2 linked regions of the Pelodiscus sinensis genome follow. The protein of the gene in region 2 interacts with the protein of the main gene of each other region in a biochemical or structural test. Links are inferred from orthologs where the notes say so. Each region holds a gene or a part of one and is shown on either strand. Other genes may lie near its edges.

The links.
Region 1: of the proteins of dual specificity tyrosine-phosphorylation-regulated kinase 1B (region 2) and HNF1A, one has a biochemical effect on the other in vitro, tested with the Homo sapiens proteins (2 studies listed by IntAct, with this or other methods). The link is inferred for Pelodiscus sinensis from reciprocal best matches to the Homo sapiens genes DYRK1B and HNF1A.

What each region holds. Positions count from the first base shown.
Region 1 is NC_134725.1:8,512,030-8,523,157, forward strand, and holds the start of HNF1A (hepatocyte nuclear factor 1-alpha), read right to left. Parts: upstream 4,240-11,128; 5' UTR 4,168-4,239; coding exon of another isoform or gene 4,145-4,167; intron 3,474-4,144; 5' UTR 3,402-3,473; coding exon 3,067-3,401; intron 1-3,066. Other genes in the region: C15H12orf43 (protein CUSTOS), read left to right, coding at 5,266-5,704. UniProt on the Homo sapiens protein: Transcriptional activator that regulates the tissue specific expression of multiple genes, especially in pancreatic islet cells and in liver. Binds to the inverted palindrome 5'-GTTAATNATTAAC-3'.
Region 2 is NC_134734.1:4,821,755-4,832,128, forward strand, and holds the start of dual specificity tyrosine-phosphorylation-regulated kinase 1B, read right to left. Parts: upstream 4,658-10,374; 5' UTR 4,643-4,657; coding exon 4,327-4,642; intron 1-4,326. Other genes in the region: FBL (rRNA 2'-O-methyltransferase fibrillarin), read right to left, coding at 5,528-5,552, 6,654-6,799, 7,353-7,465, 7,920-8,052, 8,246-8,416, 8,647-8,741, 9,080-9,256, 9,682-9,756.

The sequences.
Region 1 (11,128 bases), on a different chromosome or scaffold from region 2:
AGTGTAATACAGTGTTTCACAAACTGTGCTTTGCAGAATCTCTAGTGTGGTTCAAAGTGCACATACTAATGGTCTGCAGAAAGGTTACTGGTCATGCTGTGCCTTTTCTCCTTGTTCCCAGGCAGTACATCTCTACATCAAAAGCACAGAAATACATTAAACACTTTTCTGGGTGACTTTCCCATGTAGGCAAGTAAATTAGTGTGACCATGAACAGAAAGAGATGGTGTCCATGAGACAATTTTTTGAGTAAGATGTAGTCTACCATAATAGTCCGAAAAGTACTAATAACATGGGAAGAGGTTTCTGTGCTTTCAAAGTGCCTTGGTTCGTCCTATGTATTCGAAAACCACAAAATGGTGTGCTCCGATATTTCAGCAACCATGAATTTACAAACACAGAAGCTCTGTTCTGCAGCCATTGTGTCTGGTAAAACAGTGCTGGTCACCTTCCTTGTGCCTCATCTGGTGGGAGGTGATTTCTATAATCCACCATTTTGCACAACTATAGTATATACATTTATTGACTTGTTACCTTCCTTCCAGTCCTGTTCTGTTGGTGAGTGAATTGAGGCATTTTAACACCTGCATTATTTATATACAATACAAAACATTATTTTATTTATTTTAAGAACATACCCATCAGACCTTCTTTTATTAAAAGAAGATTTCTTTCCTGAAAGGTTGTCAGCCATCACTTGCCTATTATCAGTCTCTGATATCGACCCAGAAGAGGTTTTTTATTTATTTCCCAAAATACACAATCACTTTTAAAAATTGTAGAAAATAGCAGAGATTCTTATCAGACCTGTCTACTTGCTGCCCCCATTTCAGAAATGTCTCATGGGTTTGCATCAATATGCTTCCTCCCTTGTGGTTAAGACACAGGACCAGGTTCCAAAAGATTCTGGTTCTATTCCTAGCCCTTCCACCAACTTCCCATGTAACCATGAGTAAGGCAATTAAGCACTCTGTGCCTCAGTTAACTCGTGTAAACGAGGATGATTTCTCAATTTCCCTTTTCATAAGGAGTTTTGAGATCCTCCACTAGAAAATGCTGAAGACGTGCAAAGCATGGCTGTAGAAATGGGGGATAGAAATTAGTTCTGTGTTGAAACCAACAGCAACCACACAGGGCTACTGGGAAGATGGTAAAGATCAGAAACCAGAGTTTATGCCAACGTGAAGGGAGTTACGGTGGTAAAGGACCACACTGGATCACCAGCTCCAGAACAGGAATTCCCCCCAGTTGTGAAATTCTCTTTACCAGAGCTTAATAGATGGTGTTTAATTCCTCCTTCATCCCTTCATTAAACAGGGGCTAAAGCCAAGAGCTTCTGACTTCCATGGTTTTCTCTATGGAGAGGCACCTGATAAATCATCAGAAGTTAATGATCAAAAAGCTTATCAGGGTCTTTTCGTTTATAAATTTATAAGACAAAAGAGAAATAATAAAGCCATTGGATAATTAGTAACTAGCCAGGGCCCGCCCGGTGCAACTGGCGCTCCAACTGCCCCAGGATCTGTACTCAGGCTTAGGGAGAAGAGGGAGAGGAGACAGAGAAGAACAATGTAAAAGAGAGAGACACACAGAGACAGACAGACTTAGAAATAGGGTGATGAGAGACAGGAGAAGGGGAAGAATAGGAAAGGAGGACCAAAGGAAAACCGATACAGGACAGGGGAGTTGGGAACAGTAGGGGTATCAGAAGGAGGAAGAGGGACGGATAGAAAAGGCAGGGCAGTGAAAGGAGACTGGATGGATGGAACTGAATGGAAAAGAAGACTGAATTATAGGGAGCATCTTTCATCTCAGGTAAGAGCCAGTGTATTTTCTTCCTTAAGCTCCTGTAATGTGATCCGTTCCAAATCTGCCCAGACTCTCTAGAGGCCAGGCAATAGAACCATATCCTCTTAATGTTACAGTGAATACTAACTTTTAAGTACTGTGCTATATCTACATCTTCGGTCTACTGCTGGGGTTTTGTATGTACTTTTTGTTGTGGGTGAAGGGTTTTTTTTTTGGTATTAATATCCTTTCCCCATAAAAAGGAGTGGGTACAAAGCTGAGAGAGCCTCTGACTAGAATTTAATTTTCCCAGAAAAGATTGTGAGTAGCAGTTTGATTTTCCAGGACATTGTAGTCACCCTGTGCCTCCTGTTTGCTCCTAATCTTGGAGAGCAGCTTCAGGGCAGACATCTGAGATTGTGTTAGGTGGGTTTGAAGGGCAAGATCTTAAATCCTTGCTCATGCAGACTACCCATCGGAATCTCTTAGATTCATGTCGCTGAGTCGGAATTGCAGGAGCACAATTCTGGTTCTGTCTGTGGACTTACCGGGCGTTATTGGTTCAGGGAGCTCAAACTTTTAAGAACAAATAATTGCATGTTAAGGCAACTCATAAAATAGTCTTTAGCTCGCAGGCTTGTCAGTGTTCAGTGTTCATGATGGGAGATGGAGGCTAAAAAGCATTGGATAATATTAACTTGGATTGCCAGTCAGTTTGGCATGCATCTGAAATTCCCATTGCAATCAATGAGAGTCTTACATGCACAAACGCATGAAGATCAGCAGTCTTACAAATACTTGACTCTAGCTAACATCAGTAAAATAAAAATGTACATCTTGGTAAAAATGGCAAGAGAACTTAGGAATATTTTTCCTTCCTGTGGTGAAAAGTCCCACGCTCCATGATGGCGGTTAGTATGCCACCCAGATATTTGCACGCTTCCTTTTTATTTATATTTTCCTAACAACTGAAATGGTGGATTCTGAAAAAACGGGCATGCAGCTAATGAGACAGAACTTGTGCACCTCCCTTTTTGAAGTCCTTGTTTCCCAGATGAGAGGATCAATTTTAATATGTGATCGGGCTGTGTGGCTCTTTGTGTGTACATTATAAAGGAACATGAACCTTGTCAGTTCAGGAAGGTTTGGGGGCTGGCACTGATGGGGAGAATTTCTGATCAGCTGTGAACATCAAGGCATTTCATGGAAGAGGTGAAGGAAAGAGGGTGAAAAAAATAAATGAAGGACAAGAAGGGGAAAGGAAAGCCATGTCCTTACTGTAAGAGTCTCTCCACCACAGCCTTCTGGTGAGCAGCCTCCTCTGGACTCAGGTTTTCCAGCTCCTTCATTATTGGAGGGGTGAATTCCTCCCCATCATCAGAGGTTTCCTCTTCGGACATTCTGGATTCCTCCATCCCGTTGGGAAGATGAGGGATTTCAGCACAGGGCTCCCCTTTCTCGGCCTGAATGGCATTGATGGCTCGCTGGCTTTCACTCTGGAGGTTGTAGGGGTCCACTTCCCCGAGCGCTTTGATCAGGGTCTCCTTGGTTAGCCCTGACTCCAGCAGTGCTCCTAGCAGCTCCACCTGAAGATGACTCAGCTTAGAGACCATGGTCTTCAGTCTGGTATCCGTTGGATTTGAGTTTCAGAACGTTCTGCCGTCAGCCTTCCCTACACCATGTTCCTGAGGTAACACGACCCACTGTCAGTGGAGTGGGAATGGCACAGACTCCCGCCTTTGCACCCCCCCAAAAAAAAAACAAAATATAAAAGTGAGCCACTTAGACCCCCCACGACTGTCCTGAGCCAGTGCTGATAAAGGGACCCTTGGCTATCTGTTTACATTGGAGCAGTGTAAATTCTCCAAGGTTCATATTTATCCGTGTGCTTAGCAAGTTACTGAACTTTGGACTTCAGCACTGCAGCAGCAGTTCACAAAGTGCAGAGAGCGGGGGAGGGGGAAGGGTAGGGAGGAAGAAGAGAGAAGGAGAGCAAAAGCAATGGCCAGGGAAAAAGCCAGGATGGGAGACAGACAGAAGAGAGAAACGGAAAGAAAATGGAACAAGAACGTGAGCTGAGGTGTCTGACTGGTTCTTGGCCCTATTGGCTTAAGTCAAGAACAGGGATACGCTCCAGGAGCCAAAAGCATGAGGCTCAGCCCCACAAAACCCTTTGAGTTGGGAATTAGCAGCTTCAGCAGCTCAGCCAATCTGTGCTGTGTGCACCCCAAGCATCAAGTACAACCTCTGGACTTACTCTCATATTCCCAGATCTCCCAGAGGGCTCCCATTGACTTTGTGGTACATGCAGAGGCACTACATGGTATCTGAGCCAGTTCCCCATATTGACACTTACCTGTCCCCATTTGTCTTCTTCATAACCTACTGCCTTTATTATTCATTTGCTGAGTGCTCAGAGAATGTGCTCACTTTATAAAGGGGACATGGGGCCTGCCTCATTGAATTTATAATCTAAGTAGGCAAACAAAATAAACATGCAAGCTGTGTTCTGGGTATTGGTGCACGGCTAGAGGTTCCTGGCTTGCGTACAATTGCTCCTCCTCTCCCTATGAGTGCCACCCACAGTGACTTCATTTATCAACACTGTACTTCTGTCCCTGTTGAAACTAACCTGCTTTAGGGAGCTACTCCTAACTGTTGGATCTTTCTTAAACGACTTGTGCTAATTAATCCCAAAAGATATAGGCTTGATGCAGGAATCACTTGGCCAAACTCTCTGGCCACTCTTGTACTGGAAGTCAGATAAGTCGCTGTCCCTTTTCATCTCCACATCTGGGAGTTAACGTGTCTACTCTGACTGGCTAACAAGGTGTATCTAAAATGATCAACTTGTAATAGTCTAATTTCCCAATGTTGATTTTATAGCTTGTACCATCTCAATCGGGAAGTGATGGTTGTTTCCTGTGCGGGATCAGAGAGGGGAAAATTTTGACAATAATGTTTTACTGAGGGTTCTCTATAGAGTCACTCCATCACACAACTGCCCCCCATTTATAGGCTCTCCTCTAAGGCCCAAGCTGAGGAAGGCTGGATGGAGCTTCCTGCACAGCCCAAGGACTGGCAAAAGATGCTGCTACACTGTGACCTTAGACTCTCCCTTCCCTTTGGGGGCTTCCCAAGCTTCATTCCATAGAGTTCATGCTTGTTGAGTCAGCAAAAGACAAAGCTCCTCGTCAAACTGGATCCCTATGATGACAACACAACAAGCAGGGCCACTTGTAGGGGGGATGGGCCAGGAAGATGGTTGCCCTTACCCAGGGTTTTGGTGGCTATTTTACTCCATTCTGCTGATTGGCCATCTGTTTTAATGGTGTTTGTTTCCTCTGGCCACTGTAGAAAGATTTTTCTGCCCTGACCAGCAAAACTCCTAGGGCTGCTCCTAACAACAGATTATCAGTGGATTGCTGGCTCAGCCCCTCAGCAGGGATTTTCACTAATGGTTTTCCTTTGTTTCAGATGGATTCTGCTCCAGAGAGCACCTCCTCCTCTTGGCACAGTGCAGAAGAGAGAAGTGAATGTGGCACACTGGACATCTTGGAACCCAGCCTCACATTCACCAGTCAGTAGTCTGAGCCTTAGTTGTAAGTTTGGAAAACTTTCATTTTCATTACAAAAGCCAGCTGTGATGCATACAGCTACGAAACTGCCACCCTTTGTTTTCTGTGTGCTGCACCTTTATGATTCTAGGAACATGCTGTGCGGAGACAAGAGCCACAGTGGTCCCAGAGTTGCTGCAGCATGTTACATTGGAGATTCCTGCACGTTGTGCTCTTATCGCTGTTCTTTCCTTAATGTGGTGGTTTCCTTAATCTTAAATAAATCATTCAGACTGAATGTGAATTTTTACTTTAAGAATGTTTGTATTTGTTGTCTCTCAAGCATACAACAAAAATAAATAGCAGATTGGACAGAATCTAGAGAAAGGAAGTTTGCATTCTGTGGGTGGAAGATTTTAGAGGGAGACATCTAACATTTCTATCTGATCTAAGGGGTTCATCATTTATTTAGCAAAAAATAGAGAAGTAATTATTTTATTTAAATTACAGTACTGATTTGGTATGAAGGTACGTGCTTTCTCTTTGTACGTAGAAAAATACAGAACATTCATCAAAAGGACTCCTTCAGGTTAAAAATGAGAATTTTTTTTGCACGTGGTTACATTTTATCTAAAACCTGAAATAATTTCTTAGAGTTTAAGGTCGGAAGGGACTTAGTCTGGCTGCCTGTCTATCACAGACCACTGACTAGCACCCACACACTAAACCCACCCACAAAAATGTGATCAAAGCATTAGGATCCAGGGACATCCTTAGGGTGTATGGGGCCTTATGCAGCACTGTTAATCTGGTGTCCTTTTGCCCAACAACAGCACAGGGGAGGAAGGAGGATGATTTTTTAGAGATGTGATTTTACAATCTTGAGAGACACACCAATGACATTTTTAAAGCAATGTTTAAACCAAGGCCCTGTAGAGTAACACACATAAATTCAGAAACTGACAGTATTTACTGGGGATTGGCAAATGCCTATTAAATGGCTTCATTACCAATTGAAATGTCTCTTTCACAGATAGAACATTCTTCTGAAAGGTGTTTCACTTCTTAATTAACTAGATCAGGGCTACTCCACACGTGGCCTGTTTGTTTGCAGCCCTTGGTGCCGTTTGGGTTTATGTGGGGCTCAACATGTGGCCCACAGGAGGGAGCCAAAACAAAATAGTTGTCAATATAATGGTCTTCTGTTGATCTGTGTTTTAGTAGTTAAATTCCTAGACTGTCATTGCTCATTAAAAGTGCTGTCAGATGGGTAGAAATGGAGTAATACTGCATTTTATTCATATCAGCAGAACTGACTTAAATGGAGTCTTGAGTGTTGTGTAGTCTTGTCTTAATCTTTGTATTCATGCCTGTCAGTGTGACAGAAGCTATTTGCATATATTTGCATGTATAGGCAACCACACTTAAGCTGAGGCCTTCGGCATGTGCTGTGAGCGTCTTTGTGGCCCACGGGGCTTCCAAAGTTGAGTAGCCCGGAACTAGATCGCCTCTGAAGGAAGCAGAGCCACAGAATAGGGATAAGAAGAGGTGGATGGTGGATATAAAGACCCAGTGGTGCCCCAAATTTTCAAGTGCCCCATGCAACTGTGTATTCTACATATGGGTAAGGATGGTGCTGTTAGCTTCCATAGAAATCTAGGCTTTTGTGCTACAGAGAATAGAAAGGTACATCATGGCAGGAAAATGATTAAATTACATATATCCAGATAATCCTGGGAAGTGACATACTGCAGAGGTGGGCAGAACACGGACATAGTTACGCCTCATCTGACCTATGGGAAAAATCCTTCCTGCCCCAACCACTGCCCCGCCACTCTCATTGGCTGGGAATGTGGCCAATAGAACTGTGGGAGGCAGCACCTTCAAACGGGCAGCGCACAGAGCCTCCTGCCAGCGCCTTTGTATAGGAGCTGGGTGGGGAGTCGCTTCTGCTTCTGAGAGCAGCTGTAGGTAAGTGCCATCCAGAGTCTGCACTCCTGAGCCCAGCTCCCCTGCCCTAGCCCTGATTCCCCTCCTGCCTTCTGAACCCTTTGAATTAGCGTTTTGCTAATTCGAACTAGCAAGTCCACATTGAGTGGACCCTGAACAGGGCTTAAGGATGGCCGGAAGCAGTGCCGGCAGGGCATCAGAGGAGGACATAGAGCGTGGAGATGCTGTCTCAGGCTAGCTGAGGGCTGCGCTTAAAGGGTCCCGACCCCCACCCCGGACAGACAGTTCTAAGGGGTGCTCCGCTTGCAAAGCAGACCTGGCTTGGATTGCCCGGAGTACTGGGCACTGGCCACACTGGGCACATCACACCACTCGGCCATCAGCCCGGCTGCACTTGCCGCAGGCTGCCATCTGGGGAGAGGGGGCAATTGGGGGGCTGCAGGAGAGCTTCCACCCCCAGAAGCCCGCAGAGCCAGCCCAGTCCTCCCCATCGGGGGCGCGTACCCCATTCCTCCCTCACCTCCTTCCACTTACCCTTCCCTAGCCCCCCTTCCTGATGTACAAAATAAAGATAACGTTTCTTCCAACATTGACTCTGTCTTTATTGAACAAAACTGGGGGAGACTGGGAAAAGGAGGTGGGAGAGGGGAAGAGAAAGGCTGGGAGAGGGGAGGGCAACTAAAATGATCAGGGGTTGGGAACAGGTCCCAGATGAAGAGAGGCTACAGAGACTGGGACTGTTCAGCTTAGAAAAGAGGAGATGGAGCGGGGACAGGATAGAGGTCTCTAAATGCAGGGGTTGGGTGGAGAGGGTGCATTCAGAAAAGTTCTTCATGAGTTCCCATAAAAAAGGACTAGAGGACACCAAAGGAAAGGAATGGGTAGCAGGCTTCAAACTAGTAAGAGAAAGTTGTTGTTCTTCACAAAGCAAATAGTTAACCTGCGGAACTCCTTGCTGCAGGAGGCTGTGAAGGCTACAACTAGAACAGAGTTTAAAGGGAAGTGAGATCAAGTCATGGAGGTTGGGTCCATGGAGTAGTCTTAGCCAGGGGGTAGGAGTGGTGTCCCTGCCCAAAGTTTGTGGAAGGCTGGAGAGGGAAGGCACGAGACAAATGGCTTGGTCACTGTCTTTGGTCCATCCCCTCCAGGGTTCCTAGGGTTGGCCACTGTCGGCAGACAGGCTACTGGGCTAGATGGACCTTTGGTCTGACCCAGGACGGCCATTGTAAGCTCAGGGCTCAGGGTCAGGGGTCTCAGTGGACCCCCTTGATTTTCATGCACACCTGCTCCTGGGTGGCCAGGCTGGCAGCTCTCCTGCCCTAGCCGGCCACTTTCCTGTGCCTAGTGCGGAGATCGTGGACGAGGTCCACTATGTCCGCAGTAGCCCAGGAAGGTGCCCGCCTCTTGCGGTCCAGGGCAAGCTCCCGGGAGCCGCCAGCCTGGTCCCGGGAAGAGGGGGTGGGCTGGGGGACATCGGGTGGGTGGCGCTGTGCCGTGCCAGGTGCAGGGTCTGCTGGCTGGGTGCTGGCAGGCTTGCACCTGGCACGGGCACTGTAGCCAGCCCGTGCCCCTTTAAGAGGTCCGGGGCCGGGAGGGGGGCATAGAGTTTCCCTGGTGTTGGCCAGAGTGGCCACCAGGGAAACCTGGGGAGGGCTAGCCTCCCACTAGTTCGAATTAAGGGGCTACACACCCCTTAATTCGAACTAGTAAGTTCGAACTAGGCTTAATCCTCGTAAAATGAGGTTTTCCTAGTTCGAACTAAGCGCTCCGCTAGTTCGATTCAAATTCGAACTAGCGGAGCGCTAGTGTAGCGGCTATGAATGTTAGTTCGAACTAACATCCGTTAGTTCGAACTAACATTGTAGTGTAGACATACCCCATATGAGTAACAGTAATTCAGCCAATCACTCGAGAAAGAGAATGGTTAAAGCTGGTGCCACCTCAGAGCTCTGGCCCGCTCCACTGATGTCTCATCTCCAGCTTTGGTCCCCCCAATGCTTTACAGGAAGGAGGTTAAAAAAAAATCCACCCAGAATATACTGAGGGGGAAAAAATCCCTTCCTGGCCTGATCCCTGTCGCTTGCCAGCTGTCCAATGATCTGCTCTGGTTGAGGTTTGGAGTAGAGTTGGTGGGGTCTGACTCTTGAGCAACCGATATCCATTACATATTCATCAAGGCAAAGGTGATTGTGACCCACAATCTTTAAATATGCAGGAGACAGCACAGGAATAAAGAGTAAGCAATGTTTTGGGGAAACTCCCTGTTTTCTGGTGAAAAAAGGTGATGACCAGCCTCTCTGAATGGCTACCATAGAGCACAGTCCTAGAATATTGTCCAGAGAGCATAATTTGGGGGTACAGCTCACATTTCTCAGGGATAGATAAAATTATCACAGTTGCATCCATTTGGCCAGTTGAAGGGGGAGATACTGTAGCAATTAGTCCCTCTTAGTAGACTTCACACATGCAGCATTTATCAGTTTGGACGCAGACTAGGAGGAAAGTGTAAACTGGCCATTGGCATTTTAGCCACTGGTGAGATCTTCTGAAAGGGTATAATTTAGTCCCCCACAACTTTATTAATTTTTTTCACAGATAATGTGATGTGCATTTTATATTTTTGTGACGAGGGGAAGATTAATTTTACAGTGATTGAGACCATTAAAAATACCTTATCTTTGAAGGATTGAAAAAGTCTACTGCTCATTTATGAATACATTTGGGATTTATGTTAAAGTCCTGCTCTATCTCATCATACCATGAAGACGGCAGTTCCCCATTTGATTATGAATTATTCTATGTAGTTATATTTAAGACATGAACATTACTCTGTCACGTGTAAAATGCCTAGTGTAGTATTATGTTTTTATTAGAGTGTGCACTTCTGTGTGTACTGTAATGACCTCATTATTCTGTGCAGCACACAGAGTTATCTTCTGTATTACACAACAGCTTTCCTTTAATTGATTACTTTGGGCACAAACATACTTGGCCAGGAAGTGCCCCCATTTCTTCTGAATACCACCTAAGTTAAGACATGTTTGATTTCTTTTGTTTCTTGGGAAGAACCCACTTTTGAAAAGAGGAACCAACATCTGGGCTCATTACTGAAAGACACAAGTAAGAAAAATAATATTCAGTAATTTTTCTTGAAAACCACTAGATATAGCTTCCTGATGAATCCATAAACCATCTTCCAGCTGCTCATGGTCCCTTTTGCAACCTCCAAGCACGGAACATTTCAGAATGGCTGCATCTGAAGACCAACTAGAAGCAGAGAATTTACTAGTTTTAATCTTTCAGAGGTGCCTATTCCTAACTCCAGATGACTGGACAAATAATTTAAAAAAAAACCCCAAAGGTAAGTATTCTTAATGTAAAAATTCAAGTTGCAGTAAAAGTAATAAACAGTTCAGCCCCTCCCCCCCAAAATACCTCACCTCAAACTCTCCCTTCCTGAACAACCCAAAAGAAAAGATGAGCTGACAAGTTGGCTCTATCAGATGGTAAAGCAAGAGGGTAGGGGAAAAATGTCTCTCTGACAACTTCACCAGCAGCACTCTTTCTTTTAAATTAAGGGACTGTTAGATCAAGCTCCTCTGATTATTGCAGCTGCTCATAGACTTTAAGGTCAGAAGGGACCATTATGATCATCTAGTCTGACCCCCTGCACACTGCAGGCCACCGAATCTCACCCACCCCTCCTAGAATAATCCTCTCACCTAGATCTCAGATATTGAAGCCTTCAAATACTTTGAAGACCCCAAGATGCAGAGAATCCTCTAGCTGTGATCTGTACCCCATGCTACAGAGGAAGGTGAAAAACCTCCAGG
Region 2 (10,374 bases):
TCAGATGTTCGACGGTAGTACCTATGCCAAGAAACCCGCAGCATGAACAAGGCTCCCCCTTGTGCTAGATGCTGTACACTGGTATTTATTAGGTGTATTATGGCAGTCATAGACCAGGACCTCACTGTGCAGAGTGCTGCGCGTTATTTATTAAATGCACCTAAGAGCCCTACCAACAGATCAGGACATCACTGGCCTAGGAGCTATAGGTTATTGGTTTGTTAGGCGTATTATGGTAGGGCCTAGTGCCCCAGCCATGAACCAGATCTTCCTTGTGCTAGGTGCTGTACAGACACACATTCAATGGACAGTTACTTCCCCAAACAGCTTCCAGTCAGTTCCTGGGTTACTCAGGCTTGTCTCGTTAGGAAGCACTACCCTCTCTATGATGTGCAGACATTGTTCTACCAAGGCAACCCATATGGGCAGAGTTAAGGTGCTTTGGGTGGTCCCAACATGCATCTGCCTGGGACAGCCACTACCACATCCTCTAGGCCCAGTTAATGGGACTGGTACTCTCGGGGATAGGCTCCACTCCAGCCACAGCAGAATGGCACCATAGCTCAAGGCACAACCAAACCTTGCAGCATGGGCCATCCACATGGTTGCCCTACAGTATTTTGAAGGGGTTAGTCTCTATCTTATGAACTTATGCAGCTCACACAACAGGATCTGAGCATGCCACCTTTTCTAAAGCCTCACAAGGCCATTATCCACATGATGCAGACGGGGAAACTGAAGCATTCAGAAGCTAAGTGACTTGCCCAAGGCCACACAGGAAGTATGTGGAGGAGAAGGGAACTAAACCTGGGTCTCCCAAGTCCTCGGCTATTGCTCTAACCACTGGGATGCCTGTCCTCTCAGAGCTGGAAATTCTAGCAATTCCCCAGTATCAAGTAAGGCGAACCCCAGACTGCTGCCTCCCACTCTGAGACAGAAAGATCCCCTTCCAGCTAAGCCTTAACGTGAACAGATACCCAGCCACTGTTGTTCCAGGAGTCCCTTCCTTCTACTGCTGAGGAAACAGGGAAGGGGAAAATAGTGGCCATACCACTGGGGGAACCAGTAGGAAAGATGGGGACAGATCCACTGGGTGAGAGGATGAGGAGAAGAACTGGCAGAGGGCAGGCACACAGAGTAGGAAAGAGAGAAATGGCAGGGGGCTGGCCCATGAGCAGGGGAGGGAAATGAACACTCAAGATGACATCAAGGCCTTAAGTTCTGGAGCAGCTGGGACAGAACAATGGCAAACCCAGCAAGGCCCAGGGAAGGGAGATGCCCTGAGACCAGGGCCCAGCCATGAGATGTAGGCTCTCCAGGGATGCCACATGGCTGACAAAGTAGAGGTGCCCAGTCAGGATCCAAACACAGCGGAGGTGCCCGGAATGGAACCAAACACAGTCTTCTGCTCTCCCCACTTCCCTGGGAACAACACTGTTCAAATTGCTCTGCTAGGGAACAAACTAGAATGAGGTGGGTGTGGATGTGGGTGAAATTACCCGGAAAAAGCACCAATGGCCATGGCCTCTTCCAACATCTGTGCTGCTACAATGGGGCCCACCAGCCCCAGAATCACATTTCTTTTTGACACTGGGAAATGAGGTCTTCACCACCCATTTCTATCAGGCGACTCTATGGACAACTGGAGAACTGGCAGGTGTGTGACTGCGCAGACCCTCAGGTACACTGGAGTTCTGACAACAGAAGGCAGCTTACGTTGACCTAAGTGTTAAGTGTTTAAACTAAAGTGTAGCTCCCACCGATGTAACTCACCCACTATGCCGACTTAACTCCACCTCCGCAATAGGTGTGGCACTTAGGCCAATATAGTTAAATTAATGCAGTGTCAGAGCAGATGTGGTACTGCCTACATCAACTGCTGCTGCCTTTCAGAAACCATCTCACATGTCCTCACACCAGCAGTTAAATTGAGGAAAACATTCCTGGGGAGGATGCATACCACCAACACAAGAAGTATAGCATGGCCACGTAACATTGATTCAGTTACTGCAGTACACTGACATAATTCAGGTGGACTTAATTCAGTAGCATAAACATGCCCTCAATAATGGAAACCAAGAGTAGGCCTACTCGTAAAAAGTTATAGCATGTCAAAGAAAGAGTGTCTCCCACTGGCATAGTTAACCCACCTCCATGAAAGGCAGTAGCTACACTAGGGGTTAGATCAGTATATCTGTCTTGCTCAGGGCCATGGATTTTTCACATCCTTGAAATATCCTAGTTATGCCAATGTAAGTTATAATGTAGGGTTGGCCTCGTTAAGAGATTGTCAGTCAGACTTAAAACCTCAGCTTTTGCTTGTACCAATTTCATCCAGACACACCTCCATACAGATCCCCTCCATTCCAGACCTTAACTAGCCACATATCCATACCACAATCCCTGTTCAAACTCGGATCCTCCCAACCCAGATCTGTATCACTCCAATGCAGATACCCCCACAATGCACTGAGTGAAAACACCACACACATCACAGATACAAATACCCCTGTAAAGTGCAGGCCTCACCACAGACACAATCATAAACACATAACAGCAGCAAAAACTCCACCCAGACCAAGATCACCCATCACCTTGCAAAGCTTGCAGAGGGAGTGAAAGTAGGGCAGATAGGCCCAGGGGGTGATACCTGAAGACGATGTAGGGCTAGGGTAGGAAAGGGTTGTCAGGATTAGACAGGGAACTGAGATGGGAGGGATTCCAGGTTCTCAGAAGTGGGAAGGGAGCCAGGTTCCTTGGAGTGGAACAGGAATGGGCTGCACATTTTGGGGGGGATGAGAGAGCACAGGTTGGGACAGGGCCATAACCAACATGTAAGAGGAGATTTCTAGGAGGTGCCATTTAAAATCAAGAGTACCACCCCAGTAGTAAATGAGGGCAACATAGTGAAGGGATCTAAGGGGAGATGGTATCAGAAGAAAGTTTCTGGGTGGCACCAGATAAGAGAGCCCAGTTTCCAGTCAGTACCAAAAGAGAGGGAGTTTGCTTTTGGAGAGGGTGACAAATGTAACAGGTTTCTCAGGCACCAGGAATACGCAGGTGGGATCAGGGTTAACATGAAAGATGTACAGGAAGATATTGAGGGGGTGAAAAAAAGCAGTGAGTAGATTCCAAATTGTTCTCAAGTATGGGCATGAGCATTCCCAGGCAGGTATCGGAGTGTGAGGCTGGGGTTCCCAAGGGGGAATTTTTCAGGTGACATTTGTTGATGACAATGCATTGTGAGAGAAGATAAGGCTAGTGTTCCCAGAGACCTGGAGGAGCCGGATTGACAAGGGGCAGATTCAGGAGCAGCTACAGCAAGCAGGAGGCTATGGAGAAGGGGGAGTTGTTTCCTGGGCAGTGGGTTCCATAGCAATTGCAGTAGGGCAGCAAAGGATTGCTTTCTATGTGATGGTATCTAGTGCCAGGTACAAATACAGTGGGCCAGGGACAAGAGGGAAGGGGCTCACTTTCTTTATGATGGTTACCAGGGCAAGTAGAGCAAGGCAGCAGTGGGTTGGTTCCTAGGCAAGTGCAACATTATGGGGGGAGGTCAGTTCCTAGGTCATGATTTCTGAGGCAGGTTAGATCTAAGGAGTCAGTTCCCAGGAATGAAGATTAAGAGCATGTACAGTAGGGCAGTTTGGGGAGTCAAGGTAAGGAGAAAGGAGTCAGTTTACAAGAGTCCTCTGAGTTGTTCCAGACAGATGAAGCTCCAGGCAGAGAGCAGGAATCCTGGCTGGTCAAACCTGTGGCACTGACCATGGCAGTCGAGTGTACAGGTGGGGAATTAAGGGTCGATGTGGGCCCACCCACAGCTGTGGCCCTGCCAGATAGTTAGGGTTCCTGGTGGAGCGAGGAGAAGGGGCAAGGGCAGGGGTCACACGGGCAGGACGCAGGCAAAAGGGGGCGGGAACAGCAGTGGATCTCCAGCCAAGCAGGGTAGGGGCGAGGGCCAGGCCCATCTCACTGTGCAGCTTCCCTGACAGGCGAGGGGGATTCAAGGTGGCACCGGCCCCGGAGCCCAAGAGCAAACGGCCCCCCGCTATTTCTCTGCTGAGCTTTCCCCTGGGACTCCCCTGCCCCGCCCGCGGCACCTGCGCCCCCCCGTCCTGTCAGGGCAGCTGCCAGGGATGAGGCGGGCCCGGCCAAGGGGATGGGCCGCGGCCGGGCGGGAAGTCGGGACTCCCAGGCCGGATCGAGCCGGGGGAAGGAAGCGGGCCCCGGGGGAGCCGGATGGGGCGCCGGGCGGAGCCGGCCGGGCCGGGCCGGAGGATGCGGGGCTGGGGCGGGTCCCAGGCTCGGGGGAGGGGCCGGGCTCACCTGCGGCAGCGGCCCTGGCGGAGGACTCTGGCGCGCCCGGCCCGGCGCGGGCGGAGGCAGATCCCGGTCCCGGCCCGCTGCGGGCGGCGCCCCCCGGCGGCGGGTCCCGGTCCGGTCCGGCGGCTCCTGCGCGCGCCCCGGGATTTCCCAGTAATGCAACAAAAAATGGCGACCACAACAAACCGCCGCCGCCGCCAGGGCACCGCGCATGCGCCGCGCCGGCCGCCCACGTGATCCGGGCCAAGCAGAGTGGCGTGCGCACGCGCGTGCGGCCGACAGCCCACGTGACGAGACCGACCAGAAGGAATCTACGCATGCGCGCTAGGCAGAGGCGCGTGACCAGTGGAATGAAACGCGCACGGCAGAGGCGCCGTTTGATGGGGTCATCAATTATCGCCAACGGTATTGCCTCATTGGCGCTGAAATACCATGTGATCACTCCGGGTGGTGCGCAGGCGTTGTTCCCACCCCCCAGGCACGCGCCACTATGTGACGTTTCTCCCGTACGCAAAGCTCAGGAACCTGCAAGGAAGGAGAGCGCCAACTTCGCATGCGCATCTCCAGCCAATCAGGGGATTCGACCAGCAGCCCCACTATTTCTGAAGGGCTTCTACCCTCACCGTGGGGGGCGGGGGAGCCAGAACCCTCCCGCTCCATGGCCCCTCCCCTTCAGTAAAGGCCATGCGCACCGACCTAGACCCCACCCTGGCCCATTCCTCCAATTCACCTCCCAGTATCCCCCCCCCCCCCCCACCTTGGAGCTCTACCACTGCCTGGCAACTCCCCATCCCCTGCAGAGCAATCCCGCCCGCAGCCCCCCGCCCCCCCCATCCCGGGGCACTGCCAGCCCCCCCCCCCCATCACTCTTTGGAGAAATGAGGAACAGAGCCCTGGCTTCCCCAAACCCCACCCGTCCCCAGCAGGCAGAGCTTCCACAAGAGCCACAGGAGACAGGGTGTGACCTATGCGTGTGAACTGCCTGCCCAGCACACACAAGCCTGCCGCTGCCATTTTCTCACATTTTAATAAAAATACATCTTCAAAAAAATTCACAAAGAATACAAATGAGTCCTGGGGGAAAAGAAGGGTGGGCAGTGAGAGGAACCCACAGCCACGAAGCACACCCAGACCCAAGGCAAGAAGAGCCAGCATACGATGGGATCCAGCCTGGGGCCTGGTGACAAGGAGCTCCACAGAGATACTACTTCTTCTGTTTGGGGGGAGGTCTGGAAGAGAAAGGTAAGGGTAAGACCCATCCCCCAAAGAGAGCAGCCCCACAGGTCCAGGCCTTTACACCTCCATGCACATTAGGGATGCCGGCTATCGTGTAACTGAATAGTCATATCTGCATAAAGCCTTAGCGGTTACAGGACTATTCGACAGCCCCTGGGGCTGGCTGTATCAGAGGCAGCAGAGTGAAGTGGGCAGGAGGGAGCTAGTTTAAAAAACGAGCTCCACATGCAGACCAGCTGCCTACCACCTTGCACTGCTGCCTTTGATACAGAGGCATCAGCTTGGCAATGTCCACAAGCGGTCTGAGCTCCCTGCAAACAGAGGCTGCTGCTGCAGACCAGCCTCTGTCCACAGTGGGGCCAGGCTCACCATGGACAAAGGCTGCTCCAAGGGATGCAGAGCGGCCTCCACCTGCAGTGAGCTCGGACCCCTTCATGGACAGGGACTGATGCTGCAGACCAGCCTCTCTCTGTGGCAAGCCTGGGCCGCCGTGGACACAGGCTGCTTTGCACCAGCCTCCTCTCCCCACACCCATCTCCTGCTGCCTCTGATAGATGCAGTAGCAGGAGGGGTGGGGAGGCAGGTGGTACTGTGGAGACTGCCCCCCCCCCCCCTCGCTGCCTCTGCAAGAGGCAGCCAGAGGAATGGGGCAGGTGGATCCACAGAGCGGCCACAAACCGGGAGCCTGCTTGAAAGCTAGCTCCCCATATGTAATGGCTCTAGCCTGCCCCCCTCACCCTCCATGCTGGTGCCTCTATATCAAAGGCAGCAGTGCTGGGGCAAAAGGGCTGAGAGATCCGGTGTGCGTGGGGAGCCTGTTTAAACCTAGCTCCTTGCAGGCACTGTCTCCCGCTCCCCTCCCTGCTTGCAACCTCTGATACAGAGGCAGTTGGGGGAGGGGGAGAGAGATGTCATTGACAAGATTAACTGATAAGCTCAGGTTTACTGGTTTATCATGTAGTTGACTACACACTGACATCCCTAATGCACATTCCCATCGGGGATATATGGACATATCCCAACCCCTCTGCTGGGCAAACCCAGCCATTCTTTCCTCCCACCCTCACAATCTCTCAGCATTGTTACTACTATACCTGTAAATTCCCACCACCACAGCATGGTCTCGCTCGTAGGGCTCCAGTGTCAGCTGCTCCTGGGGTTTCATGTTCTCCTGTTGCATCTTCTTCACCTCGGAGGCGAAGACCGCCTCAGGAGCCGCTGTAGAGTCAATGCAGTTGGCCTGGAAGGAAGCATTGTGCAGTTAAGCAACTTTCCCCTCCAATGCAAATGGTTCTGTCACTAGATATCCCCTCCCAATGCTGAAAGTCACCTCCCTGGCAGTCCTGAACCTGCCCCACAGCTGAGACCCCTCCTCCAGGGACACAGGGTGGCCAATAGTTGAGGGACCAGCACCACCCCAAGAGATCCAAAAGGTTTTCTCCACAAGAGACAACCTCAGTGTGTGGCACCTGCAGGCAAAGGGATCTAACATGGGCCAGAGGACCCACTGCCCCTCCCCCCCAAAATAAATCCAAAGCCATAGGGACTAGCCAAAGCCTAGAGGTTACAGAAGAGCCAGAGCAGTTGGCCCACAGAACCCCGATAAAGGACCCTAACACATGAGTGTGCAGTGCAGGGCAGCTTCCCTGTCCTTGTGCAGCACCTTGCACACCAGATCCCCCATTCCTGGCTGGTTCTTGAGGACTACTGCACTGAGATCGAGGACTCAACAGCTCACGGGTCCCAGTCCTGGGGCCCACGGAGGGGCAGCAGCCAGGTTCCACTGCTCTTACCTTAATGGAGATGACGAAGTGCCCGCCATTCTTCAGGAAATTGTGAGCGTTCAGGGCCACAATGCGGGACTGGTCAGGCTGAGCCACATCGGCAAAGATCACGTCCACCATCCCTGCAGGGAGAAGAGGCTGGTTTAAATGCCAGCCTCCACCATTCCCTCACACAGGGGCAGATCCAGCCCCTGCCCAAGCCCCCCCACCACAACACCTCATGATCCAGCCTGAGCACAAGGAGCCTCCAGCTACTCAAGAGCCACCCAACCAGCAGCTGCAGAGAGGCACCACATTGCCTCCGCCCCCACCGTGCAAATGGGCATTATCAGCCCAGACCTTGTGCACGGCAGTGAGCCTCACTTGGTAGCTCCCCCAGTGCAGGGAAGCCATTCTGTGGGAGGGGTCCACAGGACATCGTGCATGGTGGGAGACCCCTTGCTTTGTAGCGTGCTCTCCTCCCATCCCCGCCTCTCCTGGGCCATGCTAACGTAATTTCTCTCAGTAGGGGCTGGGAACGACAGGGGATCCTTGGTCTGTAGACTGACCCCTGCCCAGGAAGCCCAGAGCCCTCACCGATCAGCATGCGATACTTGTGCGGATGCCGCGCATCCTCGATGACGGGGATGATGTTGGTGCGTTTCTTCGCCACATTGATGAGGTCACGGCCGGAGCGATGGGAGAACTCCACAGCATAGACCAGGCCTTCCTGGGTGGGGTAAAAAACCATGGTCAGCCATCTCCCCCAAGGGCAGAGCAGCTTTTCTTCCCATTCTCCCCTCCCCCCACAATGCAATCAGGCACTGCCTTCTCTCAGCACAGCTGAGTCATACTCACTAGACACTTCGTCCCTGCCCCCACCCCCATCCTCTTCAGACCCAGGCCCAACAGCAGCTCCTTACCGGCCCCACGATGTCGGAGACATGTGAGACTGTGGTTCCAGAAGCAGCTCCCAGGTACAGGACCTTGGCTCCCGGCTTGATGTGGATTTGATCAATGCCACCTAGGATGGCTGCTGCCAGCTTGGAGCGGAAAGGGTTCCAGGCACGGTACTCTATCTTCAGCTCACCGTCCTGCAGAGAGAGCAGCAGGGTCAAAGCTCAGCTCAGCTCCCCCGGGGCTGTTAACTGGCTGCGAGCATGCTCCACTGTGGCAGTCGCCCCAACCCTAATACCCTTCCTGCTGGGGTAGTGTCCCTCTAGAAACATGGGAGCTGCCTTAACAGGCTGGCACCATCCCACCCCTGAGTCCTGGGGCAGCCAGTGCTGCCCAGAATTTCCCCCATTACCACAAGGCCGCCTACCTCCACAGAGATCCTCTTCTCTCCATACACAGACTCGCCGGGCACCAGATTCTTCGTCACCAGCGCATCCTCCTTCCCCCTGCAGATGAAGACGCCTGGGTGGAAGGAGGAAACGGATGGGAAGCTGTCAGAACAGGGACAACCCTCTTCCCAAGTCTAAGGAGAGCAGGGGGAACATTCCCTGCTATGGGAAGGAGTCAATTGCCCTTGCAAATCATAAAGGGATCACAGCAGGGCTGCCAAGCCATGGATCAGCCATGTAACCTCCCATACACAGTGCCTCCAACACTGGATAGCAATCCACCCCAGCTGTGCCCTGATCAATCCAACATCTAGCAGTGAATCCCAGCGCTGTCCAGTCCAGGCAGACCACCTTGGCCACAACACCTCACTGCTCCCAGGAGACAGCACTATTTTGTCCCATGCTGGTTACCTTCATGCCTGTGGGGCTCCACCGTCACCTTCTTGCCTCCTTTAAACCCTCCTCGGCCGCCCCGGCCTCCTCCACCGCGGCCTCCTCGGCCTGGCCCGCCTCGTCCACGGAAACCACCGCCACCTCCTCTTCCTCGGAAGCCTCCATCACTCCCACCCGGAGATTTAAACCCACCACCTACAAGGGAGAGAAGAGATGGAGTAGAAGCACATTGGCCCTGTGCCATTGTCCCCGCCCTGCATGGAAAGCAGAGGGGCAGAGCAGCTGTTCACTTTGGGACAAGATATGAAGGCGGGGATCCAGTGTCCCTGAGATCACGAGGGGAAATAACCCAGGCAGGGGTTGGACCATGGCACACTGATGGAGCTGGGACAGGATGTGCTGTCCACACAGCAACACAGCCCAAAGTCAATGGCCACTGAACTGAGGTGCGGTGGGAGCAAAATTCTCCCAGTATTCACTGGACAGGAAGGTCTCCAACAGTGGGTGTTGCCTGGGACCGAGGGGAGAGGGGGAGGTGCAGCACACAGGTGCTCAGTCGTAACCACAAAGCCCTCCCCTCCCCAACACAGCGATGCCACTGGGGCACAGAGAGCACTTACCTCGGCCTCCTCGGAAGCCCCCTCGGCCTCTTCCACGGTCCCCAAACCCACCGCGCCCTCCACGGGGACTGAAACCTGCAACCAGGAGAGAGTTAGAGACCACACCCCACCATGACCCTCCACCCACACCATAGAGAGAGAGAGCGGCCTGAACCCGAACACCACTCCCCACCATTGCTCTCCCACCATGGATACAGCCCCACCCCATATCCTTCCTGGTCACCCCATCCCCTTGAATTGATTAACTGGTTAAACATAGGTAAACCAATTAAACGGGGGCAGTGGGAGGGCCTGCCACAGGGCTGGACCTAGAGAAGTAAGGGATCAGTCTATTAGTCAACCAGGGAGTTAACTATTCACATTCCGCTGGCTTAAAAGCCGATTCTCCCCAGCACGGTCTCCGCGGAGGTAGGGGCAGGGGCTTCTGCCGGCTGGGCAGGCAGCCCAGCTCAGCCCCAGTTCACCTCACTGTGTCTTTGCAATTGAAAATGCAGTAGGAATTAGGCAACCTGCCCCCAAGCTCCTACCGCCTTTAAACTGCAGAGACACAGCGGGATTTGGTCCCAACCCTGTACAAACCGGGACTGAGCCAGCTGCCTATTGACTAATCGAGTAGTCGATAGAATTTTTATCGACTACTCAACTGGTTAAATACCCGCTTCTTAACATCCCGAGCTAGAGCAGCCCCCACCA